Linked DNA regions of Tamandua tetradactyla. The protein of the gene in region 4 interacts with the protein of the main gene of each other region in a pairwise test. Links are inferred from orthologs where the notes say so. Each region holds a gene or a part of one and is shown on either strand. Other genes may lie near its edges. The genes, in order: RAB14, RAB4A, EDRF1 and EXOC5.

Region 1 (8,626 bases), on a different chromosome or scaffold from region 4:
TATGGGGTTCTACTGGCTGATCTCCAAGGTCAGTTCTTGCTCCAAGAGTATAAATTTGTGACTCCCCACCTTTGGGAAGAAGTCATGATTATATTAATACAACAGCTCAAAATGTTAACTAATTTGCCGATATCCTAGCAAATGGCAGAATTAGGGTTTTAATCCAGCTATACCAGACTTCACAGCTTTTCTACTTCCTCCTTGGGAAAACAGAGGATCTAACGAAGAAACGGGAAATACTACTGCAAAACTTCGAGCAACGCAAAAGGGCCCAATAGCCAGAGGCCAAGAGTACCCGAGACAGAGGTGGCCGGGCCGCAGCCCTGTGGCACCCCCTTGTGGAGCATGTCTGAAATGCTCTGCTCTGCCCAATTTCAGTCAAACCTTTCAGCTCAGCTAAGCCCACAGAGGCCTGTTCCCATTCTTTTCCTCACCTCTTTGTCTCTCCAAGTATTTTTTATTACTCTAGGGAAACCCCTTTGATTGCTGTTGAATTCCACACTATTAGATAAAGAGGTTTTCTTGTTATCAATTTATATGGAGAAACTGCTTCAGGAGCTATCAGTTGGCTCTAAATAAAGAATACAGTTACACTGGACTGCGTGCTTATTCAGTGCCAGGTGCAATGCTAAGAGGTTTTTATGTTTTCTCTCATTTTACCTTCATAGCTACCCTAGGAATTAGAATCCAATATTTCCCCATTTTAGAGACAAGGACCTGAAGAATTAGAGACTTTATGGAACTTATTCAAAGCCACACAGTTACTAAGAGGCAAAGGTGGGACACAAGTCCACTTACAGCATTGGGTAATTTCTGAGTTGTCAGTTAGGGTCCTTCAAGTATTTTCAGGTTCTTATTAGAGTGGCTTCCTCCACTACTTCACAGCCCCATTCTGCCCACCATGGGTGGGAAAACAGAGTTCCCTTTCCCCAGTCCAGGTTTCTATGAGGAAGGATTTTTCCTGAGCAAACATCTGGGTTCTCTCCCCTCTTTATCCATTTGTGAGTATATAAGTAATTTATCTGTTTGGCAAATTTGAGAAGAACATCTGGTCATGCTCAACTTTTCTTGCTTCTTCTTGCTAGGAGGGAACTGTTCATACAGTACTTTGGAGCCCATTTGTGGGGTTCACTATTGGTGGCCCCCCTTTTTTATCACTCTAAAAGACTCTTCTTCAACCTGGCTTATAACAGTAATCAAGGTGATATTTTTGCCTCTAACTGTCTCTTTTCTTTCTAACCTTTTTTATTGTATGGCATAACATATATACAAAGAAAAGAAATAAAAAAGCAATAGTTCTCAAAGCACTCTTCAACACGTAGTTACAGGACAGATCCCAGAGTTTGTCATGGCTACCATAAGATCCTCTCCGATTTTTCCTTCTAGCTGCTCCAGAATGTAGGAGGCTAGAAGAAATATTTTTCTTATCATCACAATTGATTTTTTTCCTTCTTTTTTTTGTGAAAAATAACACATATACAAAAAAAAAGCAATAAATTTCAAAGCACAGCACCACAATTAGTTGTAGAACATATTTCGGAGTTTGACATGGGTTACAGTTTCACAATTTTAGGTTTTTACTTCTAGCTGCTCTAAGATACTGGAGACTAAAACAGATATCAATTTAATGATTCAGCTTCATATTCATTTGTTAAATCCTATTTTCACTGTATAACTCCACCATTACCTTTGATCTTTCCATCCCTCTCTTTAGGGGTGTTTGGGCTATGGCCATTCTAAATTTTTCATATTGGTTGTAGAATCTTATATATTGCCCTAAGCGTTCTTTAGGATTGGTTGGAATTGTCCTGGGTGGGGTTTGGCAGGTTATGATAGGTAGCAAGGTCTGACTGAAGCTTGCTTCAGAGCAACCTCCAGAGTAGCTTCTCAACTCTATTTGAACTCTCTTTGCCACTGATACTTTATTGGTTACACTTCTTTTCCTTCTTTTGTTCAGGATGGAATTGTTGATCCCAAGGTGCCAGGGCCAAATTCATCCCTGGGAGTCATCTCCCATGTTGCCAGGGTGACTTTCACCCTTGGACGTCATATCCCACGTAGTGGGGAGGGCAATGGTTTCACTTGGAGAGTTGGGCTTAGAGAGAGTGAGGCCACAACTGAGCAATAAAAGAGGTCCTCCAGAAGTAACTCTTAGGCATACCTATAGGTAAGCTAAGCTTCTCTGCTACCTACATAAGTTTCACAAGAGTAAGCCTGAAGATTAAGGGCACGGCCTATTTATTTGGATGTCCCTATAGTTTGACACAGTATCAGGGGATTTCCTGATGTAAAACTTAATAGTTTCATATTTTTTTTCTCCCATCCCTCAAGGGACTTTGCCAATACTTTTTGATTATCTTCTTAATATACTCTAGGATGTATCCAGGCATTACATTAAACTATACAGAATTAAATGACCTCTTTCTTATTCTGGGCTCCCTTTGTTTCAATTCCTGTTTTTTGTTTTATTCATTAACTCGTCCAGAACCCAGGCAAGGGAAGTGGATACTATTTATTCAGAACCCTTCACAGATTCCAAAATGGTTATTCTGGGGGAGTTACACAGGTGGGAAGGATTTTTGTGGTCTACTGCTGGTCCCAATCCTTGCTCTCCCTGGTGGTTTGGCTTCCCCAGGCTTTTGAGCTATTCTGATGCCTGTTTTTTTAAGGGAAAGAATGGCAGTATGGCAGAAGTGGCTAGTTATTTCTCAATATCCATTCTTTTCTTTCCCCTTTAGTAAGACTCCCTCCTAGGATGGAGACTAAATTTTCCAGCATCCCTTGCAGTTAGATATGCCCACATGACTCATCAATGGAACACGAGCAGAAGTGGTGTGTACAACTTCTGGATTATACACTTAAAGGGGAGGCACCTGCTATCCACTGTTTTCTTCCCTCTGCTTGCTAGAATAGGACATGTGGTGGCAGCTGGACAAGTATTTTGAACCACAGTACAGAAGTTATATTTTTGGCTGGCAGTGCAACAACTAAGGAGGAGCCTAAAAATTGCCACCATCAAGCTGCGATACCAACCCCAGACTGCTTGCCAGACTTCTGTGTGAGAGCAGAAGAAACTGCTTTCTTGTGAAAGTCACTTTCATTTTTTGATCTCAGTTACAGCAGCTGAACCTATGTAACCTAACTAACATACATAGGGATGCAAGAAGTCGCTTCCCAACCTGGACATGGGGAGGGATGGTGCGGCAGAGCCCTAACTGTGCACCTGATTTACATGTATAAGGGAATCAGTGAAAACAGGAAGGGTAGGAGTGGGTGTTTTTGAATGCTGAGAATATTCAGATACTTTCAGTTACACTTTCTCACTTTACCTAAGCAACAATTCTGTAGGGCTGATTTGTTAGCCTTTTTTACAGTTGAGGCTCAGGGAAATTAAGATATTTGACTGAGATCGCACAGATAATAAAAGCTGTGCTAGAAATGGAATTAAGGTCAGTATGACTTTCAAAATCATAGTCTTTCCTCCACAGCATACCATTCACTCATATACAGTACAATATAATACAATATAATGTAAACTTGCTCTTGTTGACCCTCCATGGGTCTCCTGGGTTCCTCCAATCTTGCAAGCAAATCTCTCTCTCTCTCTCTCTGGAGCAAAGGACAGAAAAACTTCCCATTATAAAAGATTTGGGCTCCTAAGGTCAGGCTAACTTTCTGGTAACACAATCAACTGTGTGTGCCATCATCCATCTGGACCCATCCATATCACCTTCATGGGAACTGAGGACCTGAGGAACTGATGCAAATATGCTGATGCTCTAGCTCCTTCATGTGTTGCAAATAGCAAAGTTCTTCGTCTCTGAACCAGGAGTTTCAAGTCTTCCTCCTGCATTCAGGAAACTGTGCCAGCTAACTTGCTACCTTGCACTTAGGGTGAAATCTCAGCTTTTGACAGCACCTGCTATATTTGTGCCATTAGGAGAGTCACCATTTGTTCAATACACTTGTATCACATCCCACATGCTTTTAACTTACATGATTTTAACCATATGCGCAAGGCCAAAGAAAGCAATAAAAATAATTTAAATACTGAATATTCCTTCCCTTTCACTAAATGAGTGCCTGACTTGGGGTAAGTATGAGAGGAGAGTTGAATCTGCAATTTTCTCAAGAGTTCTCAGTTTCCCTGTGGATTTCATGGTGTAAGCATTTGCCACACTAGTGGTTCTAACATTCAGAGACGCATATTTTTCACATGCATCGCCTGTGACTCTTAGCCAACCACTTCATCTAGCAGTCAACCAAAGAAAAAAGTAATGAGAATCAATGCCAGAGGAAAACTAAGAGACAATGAATCCATCTTCAGTGTGGTGCATTCCTGACAAATTTTCAAGTATATTTTTCATATGACAAGTAGTTCAGTTTTCACGTTTGGCACAGGCAAATTTCTTGATTTCAGAAATGTTAAAATGTGACAAAAGAACATATTTATTAAAGAATGTGGGGATGGAAGCATAGACTTTAAGGCTGGAAGGGATTTCAATCTCACTTTATAGTAGATTAGTATGTAGTCATCATTTTCATTTATTAAAGGTCAGGAATTTTGCATATATTATCTCTTTTCATTTTCACATGGACCCATGTGAGATCGATATCTAACCCTATTTTGCAGAAGAAATTGAGGGTCTGAGAAATCAACCAAGCACATATTATTAGAAAATGTTAGAGCAGGAATTCACATCCAGTACTTCTGAGAAAAGAGATTTGTCAATTGCCATACATTCCTTCAATAAACTCCCACTGGTCTTGATTGCCACAGCAAGTTTAAACAACATTTGGAGATGAGTGAAGCAGCGTTGAGCTATTCCATTAGGCATATTAAGCACAGTGCCTAGAGTTCACAATATTTGAAGGCCCCACAAAACATTTTTAGTTCTTTCAAAAGAAATTTTTTAAATGGAGGAAGGGATCCATGAAAGTAAAAGTGCTCAAGGTCTATGAAAGTTATAATGCCACCCTGCACGCAAGTGCGCTAAGCTTTCTGGGAAAATAATGGTAGATAAAAGTTTGAGGATGGGGAATGGCGGAAAAACTGAAAAAAGTGGTCACAATTTCCCTCTACCCAGAAAAGACACCTCCTGAGCAAGGTTAGAAGGGACAGAGATGAAACAGTGGAGAAAAGAGCACATTCTAGCGGTCTAATCTTGGACAAGCGACTTGATCTCGCCGAGCCTCAGTTTTGCCATCGATAAAACGGGTAGAATGGGGCGTTAATGACTTAGTCCGCTTTTTTTTTTACCGCTATGTACCAACCAAGAGCCAGAACAATCTCAGCAGGGGCCAGACTCCGCGCGATTCTGCGCAGTAACTTCGCTAGGAAGCGCGAGGACGCACGACTTGCGTATAAGTGCTTTCCTTCCGCCCCGTTAGGCGCCGGGGCTAATGGGGCGGGACTCAGCGGCGACACGACGAGTCCTGAGAGGAGGACGGTAGAAGGGGCGTGGCTAGCAGGCCGGGCCTTCGTAACCCTCTTCCGGGCTACGCCAGCTGCGCGCGCATCCTTCTCCCCCCTTCTTTTGTGGTCCGGCCCATTGCGAGGGTGACAGGAAACCCTGTGCAGGGAGCGCCGCCATCTTGGACCAGCCCGGGGAAGATCCAGAGGGAGCCGCAGGAACAGTCCTTGCTGCCACCGCTACTACCGCCACCGCGTCTGCCACCTCTTCGTACAGCCCGCCCACCTGCCGGGGCCTCGGCCGACTGCCCCCGCCTCCTCTCTCGTTTCCGTACTCCTCTTCCTTGTCCTGACGCCCCCCTCCCGCCCGGAAAGCTGCCCAGCCACCAGCAACCCCCCAGGTAACCCAGGCCTTCCGCACTGTCTGTTTCGCTGAAGCCTCCCCACCCGGCTCTTCTGAGGGGGGTGGAGGGGTAGGAATGACAGCGAGACCTGCTTGCAGGCGGGCGGTGCCATAGGAGCAGGCCCTGTCAGGCCGCTGCGAGCCCAGGAGCCGGCCGTGGGTGCCGCCGGGCCTGACCGGACTCCCTTGCGGGGTCGGATGGCGTCCCCTGCACTACCCCTGCCAAAGCCACCTTGTCTTCCCCACCCCAGCAGAGACCTTCGAGGCGTGCGGGATAGGGTGTGTTCCCACCTCGTTTTCCCCGCCTCCTCGGCGGGACTGGGCAGGTCCTTTTCTCTTGGCTGCCTTTCTCTAAGGCTGCAGACCACCCCCGCATTATTTATCCACGCGTGCCCCGCCGCCTTCCAGCCCGCGAGCCCCAGATGTGGCATCCCCCGTCCCGTAGGCCGAGTCTGACAGCGAGTACAAAAGGCAGCACCTCGCAGTCTCGCCTGGATTTTGGACTGGCTCTGGCTGCCCCTGTTGATGTAGGTAAACTGTCTCGGGACTTGGGCTGAGGAAGGGGATTCTGCGTCTGTGCTTGCAAGTTCTGTTTTTGGTGAGACCCTGTAAGCTTCATGATATCCTATAAGACCAAGAAGAAGAAAAAAAGTTTTGACATTTCAGCTGTTTCAGAAAAAAGGAAGGCGCAAACGTGTTTCTAGGGTTTGCACTCTGCTGTGTCTAGGTGTTTTCACGCGTTTATTTTGCCTCACCTCGGCCTTGGAGATATGTTAACCCAGTTTACACGTGAGGAAACTGAGGCTTAAAGTTGTGATATGGTTGGTTATTGATGGTGCCTACATGCAAAACTGGCCCCTTTCTTCTAGGGAGAGAGACATGACTATTTAAAATGCAACTACAATCTAATACCGTTTTTCCGATGTTTGGATTGGTTGACAGCTGATACCACCTTATGACTCAAAGTCCAGCATGTCAGCCACTGCACTGCCAAGTCCTCATTCTCACAACCCCAGGAGAGAGATAGCAGGATTTCTCTTTTATATGTGAGGAAGAAACTGGGGTTCCCAGAGCCCAAGTACTCTCCTGTGGTCCCACAGCAAGTGTCAGAATCTAGGTGTGAACTCTTGCAAAGTTTACTGCCTATTTCATTATTGCACCACAATTGGCTGTGCTTTTTATTGAGAGGATAAATTTGATTTTGCAATATTTCCAACAGCCCCTTCCCACCCCCATCCCCCACCCCCAAAAAACAACCTTTCCAAAAATTTTCTTCAAAGGTCTGCTTAGGCATTTTTATTTGGTCATGCCTTGAAGCAATGTGATATAGTGGTTAACAGTTTTCACAGTCATAATGCCTGCAGTTTCCACTCTTGTTACTGCCGCTTCCTAGTCAGGTGACCTTAAGCAAGTTACTTAACCTCTCAGACATGAGTTTAAGAATTTAAGACATGAGTTTGTAAAGTAGCTGGTATATATTAGGCACTTAATAAATGGCAGTTATCATAAGGATGTAAAAACTCAACACTAATAACCGTTAAAAATTCCTTGAAATTAAAGCTACATTTAAAAGTTCTAACTTTTAAAATTTTCTGTTAAACTTTATATTTGCTGCATATTTCAACTATACAATAGAATTTGAAGTGTTCTTACAACTGAGTTTATCAATATCAAATATCTTAGCATAATTTTAGTAAGAGGTACTATTAGAGGAAAAGGCAGATAGGATTTGTTAAAACTAGGGTTATTTTGAGATATTTCATTTTTTTTAAAAGTTGGAATATTTTTATGTGGTTAAAAATATGTGTAGTTGGAGATGATACTTTACAAATAGAGGTAGCAGAGATAACTTTACTTTTAAAACTTATAGAAAATTTTAAACATATACAAAGTGGAGTATAATGAGCCTTCATATACCATCAGACAGTGTCAATACAAAGTAGAGTGTAATGAGCGTTCATATACATCAGTATCAACAGTGATCATTCGTGTTTCATTTTTATATACCTGTCCTCTCTCTAAATTATTTTAAAGCAAACATGGTGAGTCATTTCATCTGCAAATTTTTCAGTTACTAATTCTGTTAATTCCAGTAGTGAGTGAAGGAATCTCCTCCCAACCCCACTCCTCCACTTTCCCACTGAACAGAGGTACACTATTTTAGTACTTTATTTCCTGTTCATAGCATACCATCAAAATTAACTACAAAATTTTGTCTTTCTCTTGATACATTGAGTCCTTTTTTTCTTATATTCACATTATTAATTTATGTAAAATGTGGCACTTTTGTGAGGTAGTGTTTTAAGTGGGTCTCAGAAGGGGTGGGTTATTTTTAGAGTTGATACTACTGTTGAGAAAAGGAAATTGAAAGCTCTTATATTAGATTATTAGATTAACTACAGAAGTTTTGTGTTCCTCTGATTGACAAATCAAGTAGCATTCCATTTTAATGGGCCTGTAAGTAGATCAAATGGGTTCTGTTATTGAGTTCCATGAAAGCAGTTCCATGACAGTGTTGTCATTTTGTTCATTACTATATTGTCAAGGCCTCACACAATGCTTTGTGCTTAGTAGGTGCTCAACAAATATTTTCACATTAGAATCACACAGGCAGTCCATTTGGCTTTGGTGTTTTTAACAACATGTCCTGCATGTAAAATAAAATCTTACCAGTGTAAATAATGAGGATAAGAATTTAAATTACCTGTAATAGTTACTGGGTTTCTTTATCCTGGTCAGTCTTGGGTCATGTATATAAAGAGTATAGAGTGGCACATCATCTGTTCTAAGGAATAGAATAAAATAGCTCT
Region 2 (7,846 bases), on a different chromosome or scaffold from region 4:
ACAATTCAGGCAATTTCTCTACTGGCATGTTATTTTATACTTCATTAGAACTAGGTGGCTTTGAAGATGCTGTTTCCTTTGCCTAGAAAATCTTTCTCATTCTATCTTGCCTTGCCAAGCCTAAATTTCTCCATAAATCACGTTTTTACTATCAAAGCCTATAATGATACATTTTAAAAGATAATATTCTGTTAATACTCAAAATTATATGGTAATATATCATACTGTAACACTTTAAAAAAAACACAAGATAAAAATTCTAAACTATGGATTGCATGGTGTATGGCTACCTCTCAATAAAACTGCATTAAAAAAGAAAAAAAAATACTAAGACTATGTTTTAATAAAAAATAACACAGGACCAGCAATTTGAGTTGTGGGTTTCTTGTTTCATAAATGGTTTCCACTGTAGATTACATAAATTTCAAAGTGTAGAAATTTGCCTTAGATCATTCCTTAGTCTCAAACTAACACTTAAATTTATTTCTTATTCCTATCCTCCCCTCCCCTGCCCAGAATCACTTACACTACCGACTTGACTGGTTAGTTTTGCAACACAAATCTTGGCATCACAATTATTTTTGTGACCTTCCAGGTTTCCGATGGCCAAAGTGAAGCTCCTAAGGAGTCCAAGGGGACTTCCAAATAATACTAATTGGCTTTAAGAATGTTCTGAATCTAACAGTATTGGGGACAACCTTGTCTCAAGTAAGGGATATTCAGAATGAAGATTTCAGGTTGCCTAAGTTTAAGATTTCAGTAACTAATTATACTAAGTAGGCTTTCACCTGGTGAATGGCTCCTGAGCAACAAAATGTTCAATACTACTCAGTCAATGAAAGGTGAAATATTGCTTTAATATGCTAAACACCATGTATATATGTCTAATTGACTGTGTACTGCAAACACTGGCTCTTTATTTTGCATAGTACCCCTGTCAAGATATATAGAGACTCCTTTTACAGAAGGGAGAAAATGAGCACAGAATATAAAGGAATTTAAAGGTTAAGGAAACATTGTTTCACCAGACTAGCAGGCAAGTTTCAGGCAGGAGGGCATTGGTTTTACTTTTGAGTAACAATGCTAAGTAAATATGTGTCAATGACAAGTGGCAGCTTTGTACTTGGTTTTGGGGACTTTTATTTTAGGTGGGCAACTTCAACTACCACCACACTTCCTCTTTCTAAAACTAATTTTCTCTAATGAGGAAAAGATTAAATTCAGAATGTAAAAAGTGAAAAAATATTTGGGAGATATTATGAATTAAGAATACTAATAATCAAAGTCTTACCATCAGAGTTTAATCAGTTAATCTATGATGCTCAAAAATTCAATTAGCTGTATCGGAAGGTGTCAGATGCCAATGTTATATTTTATCGCTTCATAATCAGAAAAATGAAACATACAAAACTATCTCCCGGATTCTTCCAGTCAAGAACACCCTACCCCCAGTTTTCTTATTTGGACTTTCCACCCCTCCCTACTGCTCCTTAGCTACATCAAAGGGTAAAAGATGGGAAAGGGGAACTTCAAAATAAAGAGAAGCAAAAGTGTAACTAATAATAGCTAGAAAAATTTATTTTCCTTATGAAACCTTCGACTGTAGATCTGTATAGAGACAACCACACCACATGGCTGTCTTTTACTGTGGCACTTTCAGCCCCCACAACACTGGTACTTATGAAACCAGTGACTTCATGGAAGATTTCCTGTGCCTTCTAAGAACACAGCATCATGCCCCAAGTGCCAAAAGGAGCAGGTCAAGTATCAGTCACAAGAGTCATCAAAGGTTGGCCAAATCCTCTCTGGCCCCACTATTTAAACCCATCAAATACTTCTCACCACTTTTAGGAGAAAGGCCAAAACCCTCTACAAAGTCCGGCCCCACCAAGGACCAGGTTTACTTCTCTGCCTCATCCCTCTTCTCCTAGCTGCCTGTACTCAAATCACAGGCCCTGTACTGGAATTCAGTTTCACAGGGCCTGGGTACATGCTGTGCTGTGACTTGTTAACAACTCCCTGACCTGACGTCCCAGCCTAGGTCAGATTTCTTTCTAACACATTTTCCTAGGCCACATAGCTTCAGCACGCTTACCTGGGTTTTTAATTACTCATTCATTAGTGTCATAATTAACACTGTACTTCCCACTTGCCCATGAGACCAGAGCATGTCTGCTTTACTCCCTGCTGAGTACCTAGCATACTCCACAACAGTGGGTTCTACACATATTTTTTGACTGGAATAATGGTCACTGACAGGAGCAAATGGAAATAAGATCAATTTGGTTTGTGGTAGTCACAGTGCTTTTGAACCTGAGCCTCTCTCTGGGACTGCAAAACTTCAAAACTCCAAATCAAAGTCTTAATCTGAGAATGCACACAACTGAAAGCCTGGCAAGAGACAGTAAACACTGATTCAATCCTGACACAAAGCAAAAACATGCGGTATTGTCTATTCTTACCGCCCAGGGTGTTAAAAAACAAAACAAAACAGTATATGACTTGGGTGGGCCTTCATAATTTTTATATATACACATATACATATATATATTTTTTTTGCTGAGGACCTCCAGCTCTGGATGCTGTACGAGAAACAAAGATTAAATACGGTTCTGTTTTCAGATGTTTACAGTCTTTAAAAGCAGTTAAGACATTTATAAATAGCCAGAATGCAAAATAGAGGCGGTTAAAAACCCTAAGGAGAGAAAGCAATAAATGAGGTAAGAGGTTTCCACAGGGAGAGAGGAATTATTCTGTCGGTAACCCCTCTTTGCAATTCCAAAGGAAAGAAATTTAAAAACAGGAAAGGTCAAACTGGAATTTCTGAGGAACACTCAAATGCAAGCGTCGCCCTAAGCCCTTCAGATCCCTTGCTGGGGTCAATATCGCAGCTGAGAGTCAGTCTCCAACTGGCTTCCCAAACCTCTGAGCTGCTGAAATCAGAGTAAGAAAGGAGAAGCGTTTAGGGTGCCAGCGAGGAGAAGCAGCAACAGGAAATTTTTAAAAGCAGATCACGTAAATGCGCTTCTCACCGCGGGACCCGGGACCCCGCGCCCCGCCCCGCGCAGGGCGCCCGCACCTGCCCTCCGCCCGCGGGAGGGCGCCAGCAGCCCGCGCCCGGGCCGGGAGGGAAGGGGTTGGACGAGGTGGGGCGGGGCTCGCGCACCCCCGAGAACCCCGAGACCCCGGCGCGGGCTGCAAGTTGCTCGCCCCCCGCCCGCCCCGGCTCCGGCCAGGCCTCGTACCGTAGGTTTCGGACATGGCGGTCTGCGACATCTTGGGAAGCGGCACCGCCTCTCCCCGGGGTCACAGGCTGCAGCTCCGGCTCGCGCCGGCGGGAGGGGAAGGGGTCGGAGCCGGTTCTCTGCGTCTCGGTGGATAAGGTAGTAGGAGGCTGTGGACGGGGAAGGAGGGAGGGGCCCAACCGGGTCCCCAGGCAACCGCCCGCCACCCCGCGGCTGCGGCTCTGCCCGCACTGCCCGGCTCCGCGCAGGCGCACATGGCTGAACCCCGCCTCCTCCGGGGAGCCGCGGCCGCGAGGACTAGGCGGCGGAGCAGAAGGCGCGCGAGCTCGAGGCCCGGCCGCCCACCCACCGCCGCGCCTGCGCACGCGGATCGCGGGGGTGGGGGCCGAAAGGGCGAGGGCGAGGGCGCGCGTCCCCCCTCTGGCACCAAAACAAGGAGCACGTGCGCGATACCAGCGTCGGGGTGGGGCCTGGATGGGCGCGACTGAGGAAACCTGCATTAGAGGGGCGGGGAAGGGGGGTCGAGGGTGGGCAGGCTTGGGGTGTCGCTGCAGCCTGACGCGGGGCAGGGCACAGTAGGAGCAACTTTGGACAGAGGAGGCAAAGTGCCTAGGCTGGGGAACAGATACAGTCTTTCGCCAAAATGGTCCTCCTCATTGAAGACGTATTTGTCTTCATTCGAGGCTCTCAGCCAGAGAAAAGACTTCCTTTATATAAACCCCGGGACTTGGTTAATGTGTAACTAAGAGGGAGTTAGGCTCACGTGTCACCTAGTGTTTGCCTGTGTCCTGCATGCCTGAGTCAACCCTGAGATTGGGAAAACAAGTTTACCTCCTGTGAGGTGGACCTTTCGAACCAAACCTGTTTGGCTCTTTATCTGGACGAGGCTGAGCGGGTATCTGTGAAAAACTGTCAGAAACTTAAGGTGTGCAGGTGCTGAAGAGTGCCTGAAAGACTCTAGACTACTGCCCCTTTAAATCCCACTGTTTGGGAAATGTTATTTATTGGCAGGAAACATTTCCTGACCATCTGCTGGGGATACCTTTCTGAGGTTAAGAAAGTCGTTGGCTGGATGTTTTGGCTTAAAGAACAAAACAGTTCCAAATCTCTGTTGGAAATGTAGAGATAGTAATTTGTTGGAAAGGAAATTTTGTTTGGGAGTTTGATCCATCTGAGCATGGCCGTATCTTATAAGGCCCAGCCTTGTTTAAAATATATAAAACGCTAAAATAAGGCATGGCTCAATTCAATAGGCTGGACCCTCAATCTTGGGGCTCACCTCTATGAAGCTTATTCCTAGGGAGAGCAAAGGAGAGGCTAAGCCTACTGATTATGCATAAGAGTCACCCTAAGAGAGCCTCTTTTATTGCTCAGATGTGGACTCTATCTCTAAGCCCACTTGGCAGGTGGACTCACTGTCCTCCCCCCTACATGGGACATGAATCCCAGGGGTGTAATTCTCCCTGGCAACGTGGGACCTGACTCCTGGAAATGAGCTGGGGCCCAGCATCATGGGATTGAGAAAGGCTTCTTGACCAAAAGGAGAAAGAGAGAAATGAGACAAGACGAAATCTCAGTGGCTGAGAGATTTCAGACAGAATTAAGAGGTTATCCTGGAGGTTATTCTTATGTATTATATAGATATCCGTTTTAAGTTTATGGTGTATTGGAGTGGTTAGGGAGAAGTACTTGAAACTGTTGAACTGTGCTCCAGTAACCCTGATTCTTGAAGAAGGTTGTATAACTATATAGCTTTTACAGTGCAAGTGTGATTATGAGAACTTCACGTCTGATGCTTCTTTTATCCAGGGTATGGACAGATGACTAAATAATAATAATAATAAGGATTAAAAAATAAGTAAATAATAGGGGGAGATAAAGGATAAAAATTGGGTAGATTTAAATACTATGGGTCAATGAGAGGGAGGGGTAAGGGATATGAGGTGTATGAATTCTTTCATTAGTTCTTTTCCTGGAGAGATGCAAATGTTCTAAAAATGATCATGGTGAGGTATACACAACTTTGTGATGATATTGTGAGCCATTGGTTGTATAATATGGTTGGACTGAATGTATGTGGATACTTCTCGATAATAAGTATTTTAAAAATAGGCATTGGCTAAGCCAACTACTGTGAGAAAAATGCCAGTACATACATTTTATGTGTGTCTATTTGGCTCCATCCTCCACATAAATTGGCATCAGACCTTCCCTGAGGCCTCTTTCCCTCTTCCTCAATAGCCATTTGGCTCTTCATTTTATTCTTTCTTCTGACACTATTGGCAGATAAATTTCCTTGCTTCTAAATCAGAGAAGGCCCATGCTGAAATATTTCGAGAGCTGTAATTTCCTATGATTATTTTGCATATATTTCTTTATCAATGGCTTGGCTACTTTGTTGCTTTCGTATTTGGCTTTCATCTGCATGCTAAGTATGCATTTTAAGTGTACAATTTTATGTAGATGTATACACACACGTTACTACTGCAGTGCCATTGCTTCTAGGCTTTAGTGAACAGAAGTGCTTTTTATTATTCCATTTTATCTCTATTGTTGGCTTATTAGACACAACATTTTGTGGTATTATTTTAGTGATTGTTTTAGGATTTATAGTATAGGTCTTATCGTAATCTACCCCAAGTGATTTTATGACACTTTATGTGGAGTATAATAACAATACAGCAAACAGTTCATTGCCATCCTGCTCTCGCCTTTGTGCTGTTGTCTTCTTCCTTTTCCAGTTGTGATACTGGGTTTCCATTTGCAAAATGAAAACAACTGCTGCATATGTTATAGACACCAAGTAATTCACTATTGCTTTTGCTTTAAATAGTCAATTCTCTTTAAAAGAGATTTAAACAATAAGAAAAAAGTACATAGTTACTACATCTAGAATTCCTTGTGTAGATTCTGATTTCCATGTGGCATCATTTCTCTTTTGCCTTAACAAATCATCTAGTGTAGGTCTGCTGGTGATGAATTCTTTCAGTTTTGTTTATCTGCAAAAGTCTTAATTTTACTTCTGTTTTGAAAGATATTTTTGCTAAATTTGGATTTCAAGGTGTGCTTTTTCTTTCTCCTGCTACGAAGATGTTGCTTTACTATTTTCTGGCTTATATTGTTTCCGACAAGAAGTCTACTGTTGCTCTTCTATTTATTCCTTTGTATGTAATATCTTTTATGTCTGTCTGCTTTTTCCCCCCATATACCACCCTATGCCACCCTGTCTGCTTTTAAGATTTTCACGTTACCACTAGTTTTAAGCAGTCTGATTATGCCATGACTTGGTATGATTTTCTTCCTGGTTCATATAGTTAAGTTTCATTACACTTCTTTGGTCTGTGGGTTTATAATTTTTCTTAATCAGATTTGGAAATTTTTCAACCATTATTTCTTCAAATATTTTTCTGATTGCAATCGTGTTGAATTTGTTCCACAGCAAATGTTCTGTTCATTTCTTGTCAATCTTTTTTTTCTCTGTGTGCTTCATTGTGGATAATTTCTATTATGTCTTTAAGTGATCATTTCTGTTACGTCTTTAAGTTCACTAAGCTTTTCTTCTGCAACCTGCAATGTTTTGTTAGTTCTACCCAGTGTTCTTTACATCTTAAATATCATAATTTTATCTCTAGAAGATCAGTTTGGATGATCTTCCATTTTCTCTATTTAACATTCTTGATTTCTCTTAAACCTATGAAAAATAGTTCTGATAATAGTTTTATTACCACTTTCTGCTAATTTTAACATCTGAGTTTATTTTATATTGATTAACTTTTCTCTAATTATGGGTGGTATTTTCCTACTTTGCATGGCAGGCAATTTTTAATTGGATGCTGGACATTGAAAATTTTGTTTTGTTTGGAGATATGGTTAAGTAGCTTTGAACCAGCTTGATACTTTCGGGTCCTACTTTTAAGCTTTTTCATGGAACCAGAGTAAAATTTTGTCCCATTACTAAGGCTAAACCCTGCTGAATACTCTGCCCAATGTCCTTGAATTCTGAGGTTTTCCGCTATGATTTGTGGGAAAAGAAATATTCTGGACTCTGTGTAAGTGCTTGTAGGAGTTAAAAGGCTGATGTTTAACCTAAAGCTTGCAGACACAAGAAATTCAGACTTGAGTGTTCAGGATCTGGAACTTCAGTAGAAGCCGAGATATGCAGATAAAGCACAATGAAGTGTGGAAGAGACTTGCTTAAGGGAAATTAACATCCTAGCCTTAGAAGTATTTACTTCCTGGAACTTGTTTTTGCATTGTATAGCTCTGGCATGCAAACAACCTTTATCATCTTTCTTTCTAGTATATAATTTTGTACTTGGCTGAAAATAAACTTGTCTGAAGACTGATGTCTGCAGATCCCCTGATTCCTTTCTCTCTCTTGTTTTACTTTAACATTCCTTAGGGTCATGACTGTGGCCAACAAGTGCTGGGGATAGTTTCCTCAAGCCTTTATTCTTTACCTGGCCTTGGTAAAGAAAAAAATTAGTGTTCTCGTATGCCTAGCATTGATTAGTAGGAAAGGCTCAAAGAGACCTCTCTGCAAATCTCTCGAGATCACTCTATTTGTGCATCTCTCCCCTCTCCATAACATGCCCTGAGAA
Region 3 (7,827 bases), on a different chromosome or scaffold from region 4:
AGTAGAAAACATTTAGAATAAAAGCACTTAAAATTATTTTTTATTTTTATAATCACCAAGCACCCCCCAAAATCTCAAAGACAGAACAGCCAGGTTTTAGATTTCATTCTTTTAAAGTGGTATGATAATTTTATGTGACAATCTGGCTACACTATGATGTCTAGATGTTTGATCAAACACTAGCCTAGATGTTTTTGTGGAGGTATGTCCTAAACGGGATTATCATCTACAATCCCTTGACTTTAAGAAAAGGAGATAACCCTAAATTATATGGGTAGGCCTCAACCAATCAGTAGAGCAACAAAAACAGAAACAGGAAAATTGATCAGGATTTTAGTTTCTGGGATTGTGTTGGTAATGATATACAGTATTATTCTTTTTAAAAATACATATGCACCGAAAAAAAAAAATACATATGCACCTTGGGATACCAGTACAGCCAGAAGGAAAGAATTAAAAACAATGTTAACTGAGGGCCCAACTTTTATTGGGAACCACTTGAGGCACAAGCCCGAAAGGTAGTGATGTCACTGTTTTCTGGTAAGTGGTGAAGTCAAGACACTACTCACGTAGGGATGCCTAACTTCAAAGCATGCTCCTATGATGATACCATGTGGTCTAGGCAAGTTACTTGACCTTTCTAAGCTTCAGTCTTCTAATACAAAATAGTTATATTAGCAGTATCTATCTCAAGGGGTCAATGGAAAAATTAAATGGGATAAGCATGTAAAATAGTTAGCAGAGTGACTGTGTTTCTACACTCTAATTATAATTATCATTTAAATCACCTCATAACATTTAATTGTGTCGACACATCATAATTCACTAAGCCATCCTTCTAAAACAACACCCTTAGGTTTCCAACTTTTTTTAGTACAAACAGTGGTACAAGGAGCAACATCTTATAAATTTAACTTTTAGCTTCTAGAGCATTACTTCCTTAGCGTAATTTCTAAGCAGTAAAACTACTGTTTATAAAGTATTAACGAACTTACTGCTCTTGCTATCTTTCGTGGAAATATTTCAGGTTTAATCACTCTGAGAGAACAAAAAAACCCACCCTTTGCATGGTCTACATCTACAAGAATAAGGATGTTAGTACATTTTTCTCTCTAAGATATTGGGCCACACTCTCAACTTTAAATACTTCCAAAAGGTTTTTCCTGTAAGTGTCAAAATGAAGTGTGTAGATCACCTAACATGTTGAGTTTCCTATATCAGGCTCTTCTAGATCAGACATTCCACCACTATTTAATGAAAACAGGCAAGCAGTGTTAAGGATTTTCTCCTTGTACATCACCCTAATTCTTCATATTTACCTTTGAGATACCTCAAAAGGTATCCAAGGTGGTTAAAATTAAAACAGCTGATTGAATTTTAATGATCAAAACTCTGCTTTGTTAGTAACCATGCAGTCTTCAAACAAAAAAAAGCACATACAATTGATATCTTCCTATTATCATCTATTATTGGGAGGAGAAAAGGACTTGGAAAGTCAAATGTGACCTTTTTCTTCTGACAACTCTTGGCAAATTGACAAAGTACATAAACTAAATGAAAATACAAGTATTAAAGTTTTAAGGACAATAGAAGGGCAGATAAAAATGGCATCAATTAATATTTACCTTGAAAATGGTTTGCTTCTCTTACTATTGCCGAGAATGGTAGTTCCTGCTGGGCCCAGTTTGGCACTTTCCCGTAGCCAGTTGGCAGGGGGGAGTTTCAAGTCTGTTTTCTCTTCAAGGCGGGCAAATGCTGTCCGAGGAGGGGCAGAAGAGTACTTCACCACAGCTCGGCTCTTTACTTCACTGCCTCCAAGAAACAGAGCTGATCCCTAATTAACCCATTGAATGAAATGTTAATGACTAGTAATGAAAATTCCACTTTTATAAGAAGGGAAAAAAAAACAACACATCAAGCTCAGAAGGGAACAGATTACTCTGACCCTTGATAAATGTATTACAACGTGACATTTGCTTAGCTCTTTTACGCATACCTTCAAAGAAAAAATGATGAGTCAAGGAGTATGATAATTACATTTATCAGCTGGGAAATAGGCCAATCAATCTACTTTTAGAAAGCACAGAGGCAGAAACTAAAGAGAATCAAGTGTTACATTATCTAAAGGCCAAATTTAATTATGTCTCTGGTGAGTAATAAATCAAATATATCTTGATTTCAATAATATACATGTTTTAAAAACTAGTTTGTGGTATGCTACGTGGGGCTTTCTTGTTTTTAAGCAAACATTTAGTAGTTGATTTTTCAGTTCATTACACAAATACTCTCACCCTCTAACTCCACAGCCAGGCACACAGGGTTCCTCACAGCCTTCACCTGCATCCCCGCGCCCCCCCCCTCCCCAAAACAAAAAACAAAAAACCTCCAGGCTTACTGTCTGGGTTCATTTTCCAACCTTCTTTCACTCGGTCCTCTTTTGGGCCTGGCAGACTCTTTGCATCCTTCAAGAGTCAGCTGAGAACCACAACGTTGGCGAGTCTCTCCCTAGCACACTCTTTCTTTCCTCCAGCTTTGCACGAGTGTGCCATGCCTTGGAACCACCTATTTACATGCCTGCTCCTTGAGAACACAGATCATGTCTAACTCACCTGTCGCTTACCACCTAGTGGGTAGCCAAGCCTGTTTCTGATACAAACGGCTCCCAAGTGAAAAACCTGAATACCCCAACGGGCACTCAGACTTCTGCTCCCGTTTCCTGGAGCTGTCAAGGACAGAAGGCGCCAGAAGCGGCCGGGAACCGTCACAAGCCTCCCCGGCGGAGCGGGCGAACAGCTCCCGGACCCCGGGCTGGTCCCGCGCGGCAGGCTCACCTGTGCAGAACATTCCTCGGACTCTCCCTGGGGCAGGAGGCTGAGCCCTCCCGGAACAGCGGCCCCGACAGGAGGAGCCTCGGCTCCGGCCTCCTTGGTGTCCTCCATCACCTCGGTTCACGGAAGTCGAGGCGAAGAGGAACCCTGACCAGCGGCGAGGTAGCCTCAGCAAGCTCAGCGCAGGCAACACTCCGCAGACCGCATTTCCGGCCCCGGGAAGGAAGGAATTGTGGTGACACGAATCAAATATCGCGAGCTTTGTCCGCGAGGCCCGGGCCCGCCTCTCTCTGAGGGAACCGCCTCCTCCGCGGCGGGGGTGGGCAGGACGGTAGCTGTAGTGCGCCTGCGCCTCTCAGCGGCCCTGAGGGATCCCACTTCTCGCGGGACCTGGCGCTCCGGCGTCTCGGGACGGTGGCCTCGCGTCTTTGTTGGCAAACCGTTCTCGCGACTTGGGCTTGGGGAAGAGTCCCAAGGTGGGAGGGGAAATGTCGCTTTCCAAGTAGTAGGCGACACGCAGTTGTGTAAATTAGCAAGTGTTAGACCTCCTCCCTCCGCAGCCTCAAGTGTCCCCACAAAATTCACAGACGGGCGCCCTGAGGCCCAGAAAGGAAGAGGCTGCCCGGGTGAGGGGTCCCTCCCCGGCGTCACAGAGCCTGCGCGGGGACCCCGGAGGTGAAATGCGGCACAAACGGGCTCAGAAGAGGTGGCACCTGGTTGGGGCTTCGGAGCGCAGGGGTCCGCGGCTCGGTAATTCCTGGAGCATCTCATGAGACCTATTTGTCAGGCGCCAGGAAACTAGCCAGGGGCTTCCGGAAGGTTTAAGTCCGTAGGAAACGTCTGGGGACCTGGTTAAAATGCAGATTCTGTCTCGCTGGGCCGGGGAGGGCCGCGGTCTGCGCTGTAATGAGCCCCCGGGGGACGGTGCAGGTGCCTGGAGTAGCGAGGAGGGGAGGGGTCAGCCGGGGTCGCCGTCCCCTCGCCGGGCCCTGCGCTCTCTGCTCCGGGCCTCCACACCAGTGTCAGAGCAGAGTTGAAATGCAGCCACATCCTCACGAAATATACTTTAGTATACTAGTCAATTATTGAAAGGTGCTTTAAAAGTTATTTTTACTATTTCAAATTGTTATTAACGTTTGATGTAAACTCGCTGTCTCTGATAACGCCGAAGTCATGTGCACAATCAGGAATCTGGGACCCAAACTCAATTCACAAATCATGTGTACGAATTAAACTTGATGAATTTGATTTAATGCTGCATTTTGCAGATATTTGTGTTAACGTGTAGTAACTTTGATTTTATCTGTTTATATTTTGCAATCTGATTATTTTTTGTACAAGTAATATTGTTACTTAGAATAAAAAGTTGAACTCAAATATCTAATATAGGATGATTAAATCAATTTTGTACATCATAATGAAATCTCAGGTAGCCATTACTTGTTTTTCAAGACTAATGAGATTTACAGTGTACATGATGGAATATTAATAAATGACTTTTTTTTTACCGTTTGCAAATATTTAAGCTATTTATTGCCTTTAACTTACAACATTTCAGTATACACACTGCATGAAAATACACAGATTTTCCAAACACTGGAAATAAGGTTTTCGGTGTGAGGACAACTGGTGGTTTTCTTGTGATCATGAAAGAAAATGTCCAAAATTCTGAATCCTCAAGTGCTAAGTAGTCATAAATTTTGTTCTCTTCAGGTTTTCATCAAGTAAATTCTAAAAGATAATATACATATTACTGCAGGTAAAGCCGTCATTGGAAATTTTAAACTAATTGCATGTTTTAGGCTACTCTTTATGAAGAGAAAATATCCAGTATTTGTAAGGTAGCAGACAGTTGGTTTAGATACTCAGCTATTTTTATAAAAATAGTCTGGTTAGTAAAAATAGCATAGAGCGTATTTTTCCTTAGCAAGACTATCTGTGATGATGGAATCTGTGACTCAGCAGTAGAAGGTGATGATGCTGTCCCTTCAGAAAGCATGTTCTTTATTTTCCATTGTTATGCAGATACCTTTTTAGACATTTGTGTTTGATAAGCCGTCCTCCCTGAATGAGCTGGGCTACTTCATTTGTTGCATTGCATGCAAACAGGAGCCAGTTTCGAGGCTGTTCCTTGTAGGCAAATCTCATAAATGTCAAAGAATAACAACAGGGCAAACGTCATTGGGCCACTGGCAGTCTTCGGGGACTTTTTCCTGTCATTGATGGCAGAGATGGGAAGGCCCCAGTTGGCTACTGGGCCCCAAAAATGCAGACTCATGAGGTCGTCGCGGAACTCCTTGCTCCGCACATAGCCCGCCGCCTTCCGCAGCAGTGCGCCCGCCATGTCGCCGCCGCCCCCCGAGCCCAATGACAACTCAATAAATGCCATCTTACAAAGTAAATATAGAATATCTCAATTTTAAAAACATGTCTGTATTTATGTGTATATCCATGAAGATACCTCTGACGGTAAGATAAGTGATTTAAAATTCCTTCTTTAAAAGTTTTCTTTTGTGTCCCCTTTTTTCTAATCATGTATTATTTTATAAGATTTTTTTTTAGCTTTTATACATATGTATAACTTAATTTCTGATAATCTTCTGATTCTGTTGCTTTATGGTTTAATTCTGTCTTTACAAGAAGAGGTTTCCTGACTTAGAAGTAATTCCTTTTTCAGGACTCAAAGATTTTGCAGGAGCCCTGAGAAGTAAATGCCTGCCACCTTGTTGATGTCTAGTGGGAAAATGCACTGCAAACAGCCTTTGAGAAGACAGGAAGAAATGAAACAAGGAGAATCAGGAACTGTGCACAGAAAAAGAGGCCCACTGGAGCTGAGCTGAGTCATGAAGGGACCAGGGACCTTGAGGAGGGACTGGATTTCCTCTGGCTACACAGGGTCATGACTAGAGAGATTTAGGTAGTAAAGAAAGATTATCCCTGTGGGTTTGTGATATTGGGCACATCTGGGCTACATAAAGTTTATACATTCTTCTAGCTCTAAGCGCTTGTTAAATTTTTTCTCTATTCAAAACATTCGCATGTATTTTTTTTTAAGTTACTATCATGGTTTCTAATGTAAAGGATTAAAATATAATGTGGGAAACCATCGATCATTATTTCCACAGTTTCAAGTTTTAAGACACTATTTTCTGTTGTTTTATATTGAACTCGTGTCCACTTTCCTCACGCCTCCAGCCCTGCTCCCACTATCAGGGCCTGCTCTGACCTCTAAGTACCATTTTCCTGGTATTTAACCAGCCAACGCTCTCACATGTTCACCTGCTTCCCAGTGCTTTACGTTCTCTGTTACTTAAGAATTGTTTGTTGAATGAATAAACTGCTTATATTTCTCTGCTCCAACCGTATTGTTCCATAACTCTAGTCCTAGCTAGTGCTAGTCCTCTCTCTAGAATACCTTTCCCTTTCTCATCTGATTTATTCCTGTCCAACTCTCAAGATTCATTCCTGGTATTACCCCCAATAAGTCTACAGTGACGCCTCCCCGTCCCTACTCCTTAGGTTCTTCTTTTTTGTTCCCATAGCTTGTATGTAACTTTATACTGTCCTTATACACATTATAGAGAAATGACCTGTTTGTATCTACCTCTGCTGACTGAGCTCCCCAGGAGTAGGTGTCCTATCTAGTCAACTCTGATTCACTAAGACTAGGCACAGCACCAGCCAACAGGACCACAGTTAAGCACTGTAGGTATGATGACCAAGGCCAATAGGCCTTTTAAATATTTATCAAAATGTTTGAGGCATAAAGATACTGTTGTTGGCGCAAAAATTTTTTACATTAAATATATAAATACATGTGTGGTAACGTATTTATTTATCATAACATTTCCCGTTTTAACCATTTTTGACTTTGCAGTTCAGTGACATTAATTACGTTTACAATGTTGTGGTCATTCATTACCAAAATTTCATTACCATTCATTACCAAAACTTGTTCATCACCCAAAACATGAACTTTGCACCCATTAAACAATAGCTCCCTATTTCTCTAGCACCCCACTCCCCTCCCCCATCTCTGCCTCTGGTAACCCCTCATGTACTTTCTGTCTCTATGAATTTGCTTATTCTAGCTATTTCATAGAAGTGGAATTATACAACATTTGTCCTTTTGTGTCTGGCTTTTTTCACTTAGCTTAATGTTTTCATGGTTCATCTATGTTGTAGCATGTATCAGAACTGAACTTCTTTTTCTGGCTAAAGAATATTCCATTGTGTATGTATACTACAGTTTGTTTAGCTATTCATCTGTTAATGGGTACTTTGGTCAACACTTTTTCTTAATTGCAAAATCAAAACCAAAAATGTTTTATGAAATATCTCCAAAATATTGCAGGGTCAATGTCATTAATTATTAAAATTAGTATTCATACATATTTTGTTACATTATAAAACAATTTGAAGGTTAGACTTTCTCAGTTTGCAAAAACCCTCCCAGTATACATGATGATTTCAGAGAAATCACTGTCAATCAAAATTCATTTAGTTTCTTGCCTCTCAAAGTATTTTCCAAAGCAAAATTAGAAATCTTCCAAAAAACTTTTACAGGAAAAAAATTATACATAAGGTAGATGCAGATGTGGTTTGGGGGGCCCTCCAAAAGTACTTGTGCTTAAGGCCACTGGAGTTCCTAAACAACTTCACTGGTAGAGTGGGGATGCTCAAGGAATGTTTAGAATGAGGTAGTAGGGGGTGATTCAGTGGTAGAATACTCGCCTTCAGTGTGGAAGACCTGGGTTCATATTCCTGGACCATGTACCCCACACCCCCACAATAAGAAGGAATGGGGCAGGAGATCTTCAGTTTGCCAGCGTACCTTCCATGACCTAGTGTCTTACACATAACCAGCCTTACATATAACCAGCCCTTCATGCATTTACCAGCTGGACCTCACAAGGCCCTGAGTTTTTGGCTCCAGGTCCTGATCTTTTAGAATTGAAAGGGAGATTTGAGATTACCTGGTTCAGTCCCTTCCTTCTTA
Region 4 (7,862 bases):
GGTCCCCAAATGAATATAAAGAAATGGATCTTAGTGGTACAAAGGTGATTTGTAGCACACCCAATGTGTCCCATCCAGATGTCCCATCCTTTAAGGAGGTATTGCTGCCTTAAGTGCCAGTAAAGCTATCAATATACAGCTTTTACCAGGCAGTATCTCCAGGGATCCCCTCAGCTGCAGAAAACCACCTTACCCAATGTCATACCTTTCCCAGAGTGACTCATAGCTAATGACTGATTAAGAAGGATGACTCTAACAGGCCATTTTAGCTCCAAATCTCCCTATAGCATTCAACCTTTAGGGTCAGCATTGTAGTTCTACTTCTCCTTTTGCCCAGTGTTGCTTCCTTACCCTGCAACTTCACAGATGTGGCTCTCAAGGGTATTTTCAATAAACATTCTACACACTAAACTCTGCTTCAGAATTTGCTTCCCAGAATATCCAAACTATGACTCTGTAGTAATCCAGTCAAGAAACGTTAGTGCCTCACACAAAGGTGGCAGTGGACGGAGTGCTGAGAAATAATCAGATTCATGGTATTTTGAAGGATGTACTAATAGGAATTGCTGATGGACTGGATATAGGGAGAAAAAAGAAAAAACTGAGTTATGGACTTGTAAAGACCTGAGGCCAGAACAGAGGTTTGAGGCCTGAAAGGTGGTGGGGAAGACTGAGAAAGGAGATGGATGAGAAACTGGGGAAACAATAGCTATGCTCTGAATATTATATTGGAGATGTCTATTAGATACAAAATGAAAAGACAGAGACTATAGTTGGAAAAACAAGTTTGTGCTATCAGGAAGAAACTGGAGCTAGATATAATTTTAGAGTCATCAACATATAGGTAGGTGGTTATTTAAAACCTCAGGTCTAAATGAAATCATCTAGGAGGGAAAAGGACACGACAGCATTTGGACAAGAAAAGGAAAAAGGATCCAAAAAAGAGACAAAGTAGAAGCGACCAGTGAGAGAAGAGGAGAATTAGAAAACAAGTGTCTGAGGTTTTATCTTCAGAGTCAATAACACTATCTATTACGAGGTTTTAAAGATAAACGTCTTACTGCTCCTAATGGGATGGAGATTAAAAAAAAAACTTTCTGCTTATAAAAACTAATAAACGCAATACCTTGCTCTCTAATAACTAAGGCTGTTTCAAAGACATTTACAATTATAAAAAAAAATTAATACATCCTAAAACCTTTAACTGACCAAGGCCTCCAAAAAGGTCTCTCAAAGATATCTGTAAACATCTGCCCAAAAAAATTTCTGAATTTTGCAAGTGACAAAGGTAAATGTTCATCTTATTTTAATACAGTAATTAAACACAAAAATTAACAAAACAAAAACAAAAATTGAAGAACTATGCCCTGTAGACTAATATAAAATGATATTAAATTCAATACTGGTAACTGTGTTGCTGTTAAACTGGTATCATTATTTATAAATGCTACCAATTGTAAGATGAAACATGGTGTGTCTGTGATCATTTCCATAAAAAATAATGACACCAAACCTTTGGACAAGAACCTAAAGCCCTAATTTAACAGTTTCTTGAAAAAGAATCCAACTAAATTTTTTATTTTCTTATAGCACCTTTTTCTAGAATAGATCTAATAAAATGTGTAAGAACCACACACAAATTCAAAGAAACCAGTACATTCATCTTCATCCTGACTTTAAAAAAAAGTATTTCAGAGAGGTATTTCTATATCCTATTAAACCAACTAACCCAAGGGTTCAAGTTCTACCTGTAACGTGTATTCCTTAATTTTAGTGCACTGCAAAACAAATCTTTAAAAATCTTTAGACAGACATTTCCTTTTGTGATTCCTATACTCTCAAGTTCACACTCCTCTGCCTACCCTTTAAGGTCCTTATCTTGCTCTACCTGCTCAAATTTCTCTAAACCCCAGAATGAACACCATATTCCTATCATCATATTTCATTCTTCTCTTCAAATCCACGCTACTACTGCTTCCTGTGGACAGGTAACCCACCCCTTTCTCCCCTCACAATTCAAACACCACTATACCATTATTCAAAGCCTGGCTCAATTTCCATTTCTTCCTTGAAGGTAGTTTCTTCTCCACATTATCTCCACTTATTTCTCCACTCTTACATCCCTTTGAGTTGTAAAAAGTCATATCCCTACACAGAGCAAACTATTACCAGTTGTCATTTGTTTTATAACCATTTTTGTAAGGTTTGCTTTTCTCTTCACACTTAAATTGAAAGCAAGGGCAGGATCTGTCTCACGCCTCTCTTGCTTTTCACCTGTGGTGAACAGAGCACTGATGAGCACACAGCAGATGTACAATAAAGCAAATTACTGGCGAGTGGGGCCAGGGCCAAATCCTCTACAGAGCATCTTGAAAATCAGCCAAGATCCATGTATAAAAATCAAGACAAAAAGGGTCACCACCCCCACCCTCCCAAAAAAAGAACAGACATAACATGGTGCTATAAATCCAAGACTGTAATATAAACCAACTATGAGCTGAGGCAAATTGTGACGCTGGAACTAAATGAATTTTACCATGTTTGATTTTTTTTCTAATTCCACCTGATCTGCTTTTTCTGGAAATCTTTGCGGTTTTACTTGAATAAATAAATGAATTATGTTTATTGAATATTTTTTTAGAGTACTATAAAAAATGCTTTGCCTCAAGCTAGGCAAAATAGGATTCAAAGGTAGAATGGAAATGTACAGGATAACGTTCAAGAAGGGAACATGAACTTTGCCTCTCTTTGGGAAGTGTCAACATCACATTGTGGTATGGAAGATCTTGCTGTAGCCATTTTGGAAAATATAATCTTCCCTTTTTGTAATTCTCCCCTAGTGTAATCTTCTAGCTCTGATCATTTCTTCCCAGTCTTCTTTGTAGTGAATCACCAACCATCTACTTTCTAAAATTCAAAAATATGGAATAAATTCAACTCCTCAGTCATCAAATTCTTTCAGTTCTACCTCCAATATATCACTTAAATTCCCTCTCTTCTCTATCCCCATTGAATCAAGTCAAGATTTCCTCTGCCTAGAGTAATCAATCAAGAGACAATTCTAGAACACCTACCAAATAGCAAGAAGTATGCCAAACTACCCAAGTCCTTTTATTTCCCCAGTTAACAATCTCTCTCCACTTAAGGTCATTCTTCATACTATCAGGAAAATTATCTGGAGAAAAGAAAAGAAAAAAGTCATGTCAGCCCCCTTAAGAATGGCCTATATGGCCTTCTGAAACTTTCCAACAAACTACCGCTATGGTTTCAATGTCTTGTTATGAACCATCACTCCCTATTCCCAAAACAAGTATATACACATTCTACCTCTTTTCCATATTTCCTGAACACACCTCACGTTACAAACTGGAACCTCTTACATGCTACATCTTCTATCTCTGCCTTGGAATGCCCTTCTACTTGGAATTTTTCTACTCATTCATCAAGATACAATTTATATGTCATTACTCTGTTACCATGGAACTAATTATCCCAGGAAGCACTTCTGTATTCCCATTGCACTATATTATCTGTTAACATGTCTGTTGCCTCCAATTAGATTTTTATCTTAAACCATCTTTAAACTCCATCAACTGGAATGATGCCTGGCAGAGGGTGGGTCAAGCACTCAATACATTTACTGAATGAATACATTTTTTTTCATAAATGATAATATAGTAGTAGTCAGCTTCCACAAATGTTTATTTAACAACTGTTATGGCTAAAACAGACTGCTTTTCAGCACTCTGAAGTTGAAGAGATGGTCCTTACTTGTATTATCTCAAGTTCCTTAAAATATACTTGGCTTTATAACTGAACAGGAGGGACTTCTTTTTACCCAAATCTGTTTAAATAGCTTTTGTAACTTGGTTTGAAAATCTAAGGGACATATTAATGTGTTTCTGTGGGAAAATGTGTTCTTGACTATTCAAATTCTAATTTGGAAGTCATAAAGCTGCTACCACTATATGCGAATTACCTAACTTTGTTACTTTCCTGCTCAGACACTTTAATCCTATGTTTACAGAAGGAAAAATCCAATTCCTAATTCTGGTATTTCCAGGCCTCCACAATCAGATCTCAATTTAACTTACATGGCACTACTCCTCTTCATACATGCTTTACCCCACTCAAAATGAACTCTTCTTTTGTTTCCAGGACACACAATTACCTTTCTTTATGTTTTGGCTTTTCTTGTCTATTTTACTGAATAGCCTCTCTACCCTGTTCCAAAAATTCAAATCAAAGCTATCCCTTTGGATCATTCAAACACCATCTTCTAATCCTTTCCCTCTTCTAGAGGCAGTCTTTCCATCCTCTCAACTCTTTATCAAGAATTCTTTGATACCACTTATAACTTTATTTAGAGTACATGAACATACGAAAAGACAACCTCTGGAATAGAAGAAAATAATTTCAAATCATATATCAGATAAAAGTTTAATATACAAAACATATAAAGAACTTTGTTGTTTACAACGCAACACAAAAAGACAAACAACCCAATTAAAAACTGGGCACAAAAATGAGAGCAGGGAACTCCAGGACTCACTACTTCCTTAAAACAGCTACTGTCTAAAACAACTGTTCTGGGGCTTTGGAGGCCAGAGGAGCACTGTTCAGCATCCAGGGAAGAGCGGGAGAAAGGGGCTGAGAAAATGTGGTAAAAGAACCATGCGTAGCTCATTCCACGGCAGCTGACAACACCCGTCAAAGGCGACCATATGAGGTCCGGTCCCTGTTTGGCTGTTGTAGACAGAGAGGGATGTGGAAGTCCTTGTCCCAAAGAATAGTGTATGTGTGTTGGGGAGGTGGGGGAGGGTACATGGCCAAACTCTGATCACAACTGTTGCTTGGAAAATTTGTATTACTGGGTTTTGGCTCAGAACTGCTGTTTTAGCCCACTATGGACAAGGATGGCAATGGTCATTGTTTCAATTCTGCCATCGTCATGGGCATAAGTGGTGGAGGTTTAAAGACCCAGTACTAAGGGTGGTGCAACGGTGGCTCAGTGGCAAAATTCTCACCTGCTATTCCAGAGACCTGGGTTCGATTCCCAGAGCCTGCCCATGTCCAAAAAAAAGATACAGTATTTATATAGGGCTGCGGGGAACAGTTTGCTGAATGGTGCCATCTGCTGGGCAGACCAGGAAAGTGCAACTTACGGGACTTGTCAAAAAAGCTTTTGGTGTCCTCCCTAACCATGCCCACAGAGTTCTCTGGACCAGGTCTGCACTTCCTTCGTGGGGCTGGGGCCCCGTTTTGGCTCAGAAAACTAACTTGGGAAAGTCCCCTTTCTTGTGACCCTCCTCCCCAGAATGTACCCTCCAGGCAAATGCAACAAGAGGCAGCAAAAGCAGTGTAAAAAACACACCATAGAGGCTAAACAAAAACTAAAGGAGAAGATCAAGAACGCCACAGAAGAAACAGGATTCCCAGGAAAAGAAGCTTTCTCCTTTCTTTTCTGGAGGTGAAACAATTGCACACATAGTGCAATCTTAAAAACTGTACTGCAAATTCAGGGCAAGAATCAAATGAAGAAGAGTTGAAATAATATGATCAGTTGAACATGGGCAATTCTAAAGGTCTAGAATAAGTTGAACTAAGTGTGAAAGAAGAGCTTTAACAAAAAGAACAATCAACAATAAAATCCTAGGCAAGAGTGTGAAACTGATCTTTGGAGTAAAGTCATTAAGATAATCAGTAGCCCAGACATTACCAATAAGTTACAAGCCTTACCAAGAAACAGAAAGATACGGCCCAATCAAAGGAACAAATTAAAACTTTGGAGGAGACACAGAATTTGGAACAACTAATCAAAGATGCTCAAACAAATCTAAATCAACTAAAGAAGGTTAAGGAAATTATAGTAAAAGAGATCAAGGATATTAAGACACTAGATGAGCATAGAGAAGAATCTGAAAGTACAAAAAGGACCAAAATAGAAATTATGTGAATGAAAGGCATCATAGAAGAAATCAGAAATATACTAGTGGCACACAAAAGCAGATATGAATAATAAGAAAGAATCAGTGAACTGGTAGGCAGAACAACCAAAACTATACAGACAGAAGAACAAATAATGAAAATCATAAAAACAAGTAGGATCTCAAGGATTTGAATGACAGCACAAAGTGCACAAACACATGTGTCATAGGCATCCAAGAAGGAGAAGAGCAGAGAAAAGAGGCAGAAAGAATATTTGAGGAAATAATCACCAACTCTTATGAAAGACATAAATATACATATCCAAGAAGCGTAATGTACACCAAACAAAATAATCCTAATAGACTTATTCTGGGACACACTAATCAGAATGCCAAATATCAAAGATCCTGAAAGAAGCAAGAAAAAAAATGATCCACCACATATAAGGGAACCAAATAAGACTAAGTTTTGATTTCTCATCAGAAACCATGTAGAAAAGAAGGCAGTGGAATGATACATTTAAAATATAAAAAGAGGAAAAACTACCAGCCAAGAATTCTTTATCTGGTAAAACTGTCCTTCAAAAATGAGGGCAAGTGTAAAATATTCAGATACACAGAACTGAGAGAATATCATCAATGAGAGACCTTCCCTACAGGAAATTAAAGGAGTTCTGCAGGGTGAAAAGAAAAGACAGGGGTGAGATGTGTGGAGGAGAGCGTATAAATGAAAATTATCAGTAAGGATAACTAGAAGGTTGAAAAAAAGAGACAAAAATAAGATACAACATATGAAAACCAAAAGATAAAATGCTGGAAGTATACTACCTTTACAGTAATAGAATTAAATGACAACAGATTAAACTCCCCAATCAACAGAGATTGGCAACAGGGATAAAAAATTATGACCAACTAAATGCTGCCTACAAGAGACACAACTTAGATCCAAAGACTCATAGGTTGAGAGTGAAAGGTTGGAAAAGTTAGCCAGACAAAGACTAACCAAAAAAGACCTGGGGTAGCTATACTAATATCAGACTAATAATGTGAAAATGTTAAAAGAGACAACACTACATATTAATGAAAAAGGCAATTCACCAAGAAGAAATAAAAATCATTAATATTTATGCACGGAGCCATGGTTCTCCAAAGTACAGACAAAAGCTGGCAAAGTGAAGGGAGAAATAGACATCTCACGATAAAAGTTGTAGAACTGAGCACACAGCTCTCACCCATACATAGAATATCTAGTCAGATAATCAGTAAGGAGATTGAGAACTTGAATAACGTGATACATGAACTAGACCAAACATATATAGAACACTGCAATCCCAAACAGCAGGATATACATTCTTCTCAAGTACTCATGGATCATTCTTCAGGAGAGACCATATGCTGGATCACAAAATTTTAAAAGACCAAAATTACACAAAGCATCTCCCCTTGCCCACAATGGCGTAAAGCTAGAAATCAATAACAGGTAGAGAACTGGAAAATCACAAATACATGGAAGGTAAACAACACACTCTTAAACAATCAGTGTGTCAAAGAGTACACTACAAGAAATATCAGTAAATATCTCGAAGTGAATGAAAATGAGAACACAACATATCAAAACTTATGGAATGCACTGAAAGTAGGCCTCAGAGGGAAATTTTTGCCTTAAATGCCTACATTAAAAAGTGAGCTAAACTGCACGTGAGGTATAGGTTTTTTTTTCTCTCTATTATCGTTTCAATTCTTATTCGGTTGTCTTTTTATTTCTTTTTCTAAATCGATGCAAATGTACTAAGAAATGATGAATATGCAACTATGTGATGATATTAAGAATTACTGATTGTACATGTAGAATGGAATGATTTCTAAATGTTTTGTTAATTTTTTTTAATAAAAAAAAAGTGAGCTAAAGTAAAAAACCTAAATGCACATCTGCAC

The links.
Region 1: the proteins of EXOC5 (region 4) and RAB14 interact in binary tests that used the Homo sapiens proteins (3 or more experiments, as listed by UniProt). The two-hybrid records come from large-scale screens. The link is inferred for Tamandua tetradactyla from reciprocal best matches to the Homo sapiens genes EXOC5 and RAB14.
Region 2: the proteins of EXOC5 (region 4) and RAB4A interact in binary tests that used the Homo sapiens proteins (3 or more experiments, as listed by UniProt). The two-hybrid records come from large-scale screens. The link is inferred for Tamandua tetradactyla from reciprocal best matches to the Homo sapiens genes EXOC5 and RAB4A.
Region 3: the proteins of EXOC5 (region 4) and EDRF1 interact in binary tests that used the Homo sapiens proteins (3 or more experiments, as listed by UniProt). The two-hybrid records come from large-scale screens. The link is inferred for Tamandua tetradactyla from reciprocal best matches to the Homo sapiens genes EXOC5 and EDRF1.

Annotation. Positions count from the first base shown.
Region 1 is NC_135328.1:36,167,399-36,176,024, forward strand, and holds the start of RAB14 (ras-related protein Rab-14), read left to right. Parts: upstream 1-5,526; 5' UTR 5,527-5,814; intron 5,815-6,248; exon of another isoform or gene 6,249-6,343; intron 6,344-8,626.
Region 2 is NC_135328.1:153,603,299-153,611,144, reverse strand, and holds the start of RAB4A (ras-related protein Rab-4A), read right to left. Parts: upstream 3,521-7,846; 5' UTR 3,277-3,520; coding exon 3,246-3,276; intron 1-3,245. UniProt on the Homo sapiens protein: The small GTPases Rab are key regulators of intracellular membrane trafficking, from the formation of transport vesicles to their fusion with membranes.
Region 3 is NC_135339.1:88,275,219-88,283,045, reverse strand, and holds the start of EDRF1 (erythroid differentiation-related factor 1), read right to left. Parts: upstream 3,460-7,827; 5' UTR 2,940-3,459; coding exon 2,832-2,939; intron 1,835-2,831; coding exon 1,626-1,834; intron 1-1,625. UniProt on the Homo sapiens protein: Transcription factor involved in erythroid differentiation. Involved in transcriptional activation of the globin gene.
Region 4 is NC_135338.1:8,508,706-8,516,567, reverse strand, and holds the start of EXOC5 (exocyst complex component 5), read right to left. Parts: upstream 3,174-7,862; 5' UTR 3,159-3,173; coding exon 3,075-3,158; intron 1-3,074. UniProt on the Homo sapiens protein: Component of the exocyst complex involved in the docking of exocytic vesicles with fusion sites on the plasma membrane.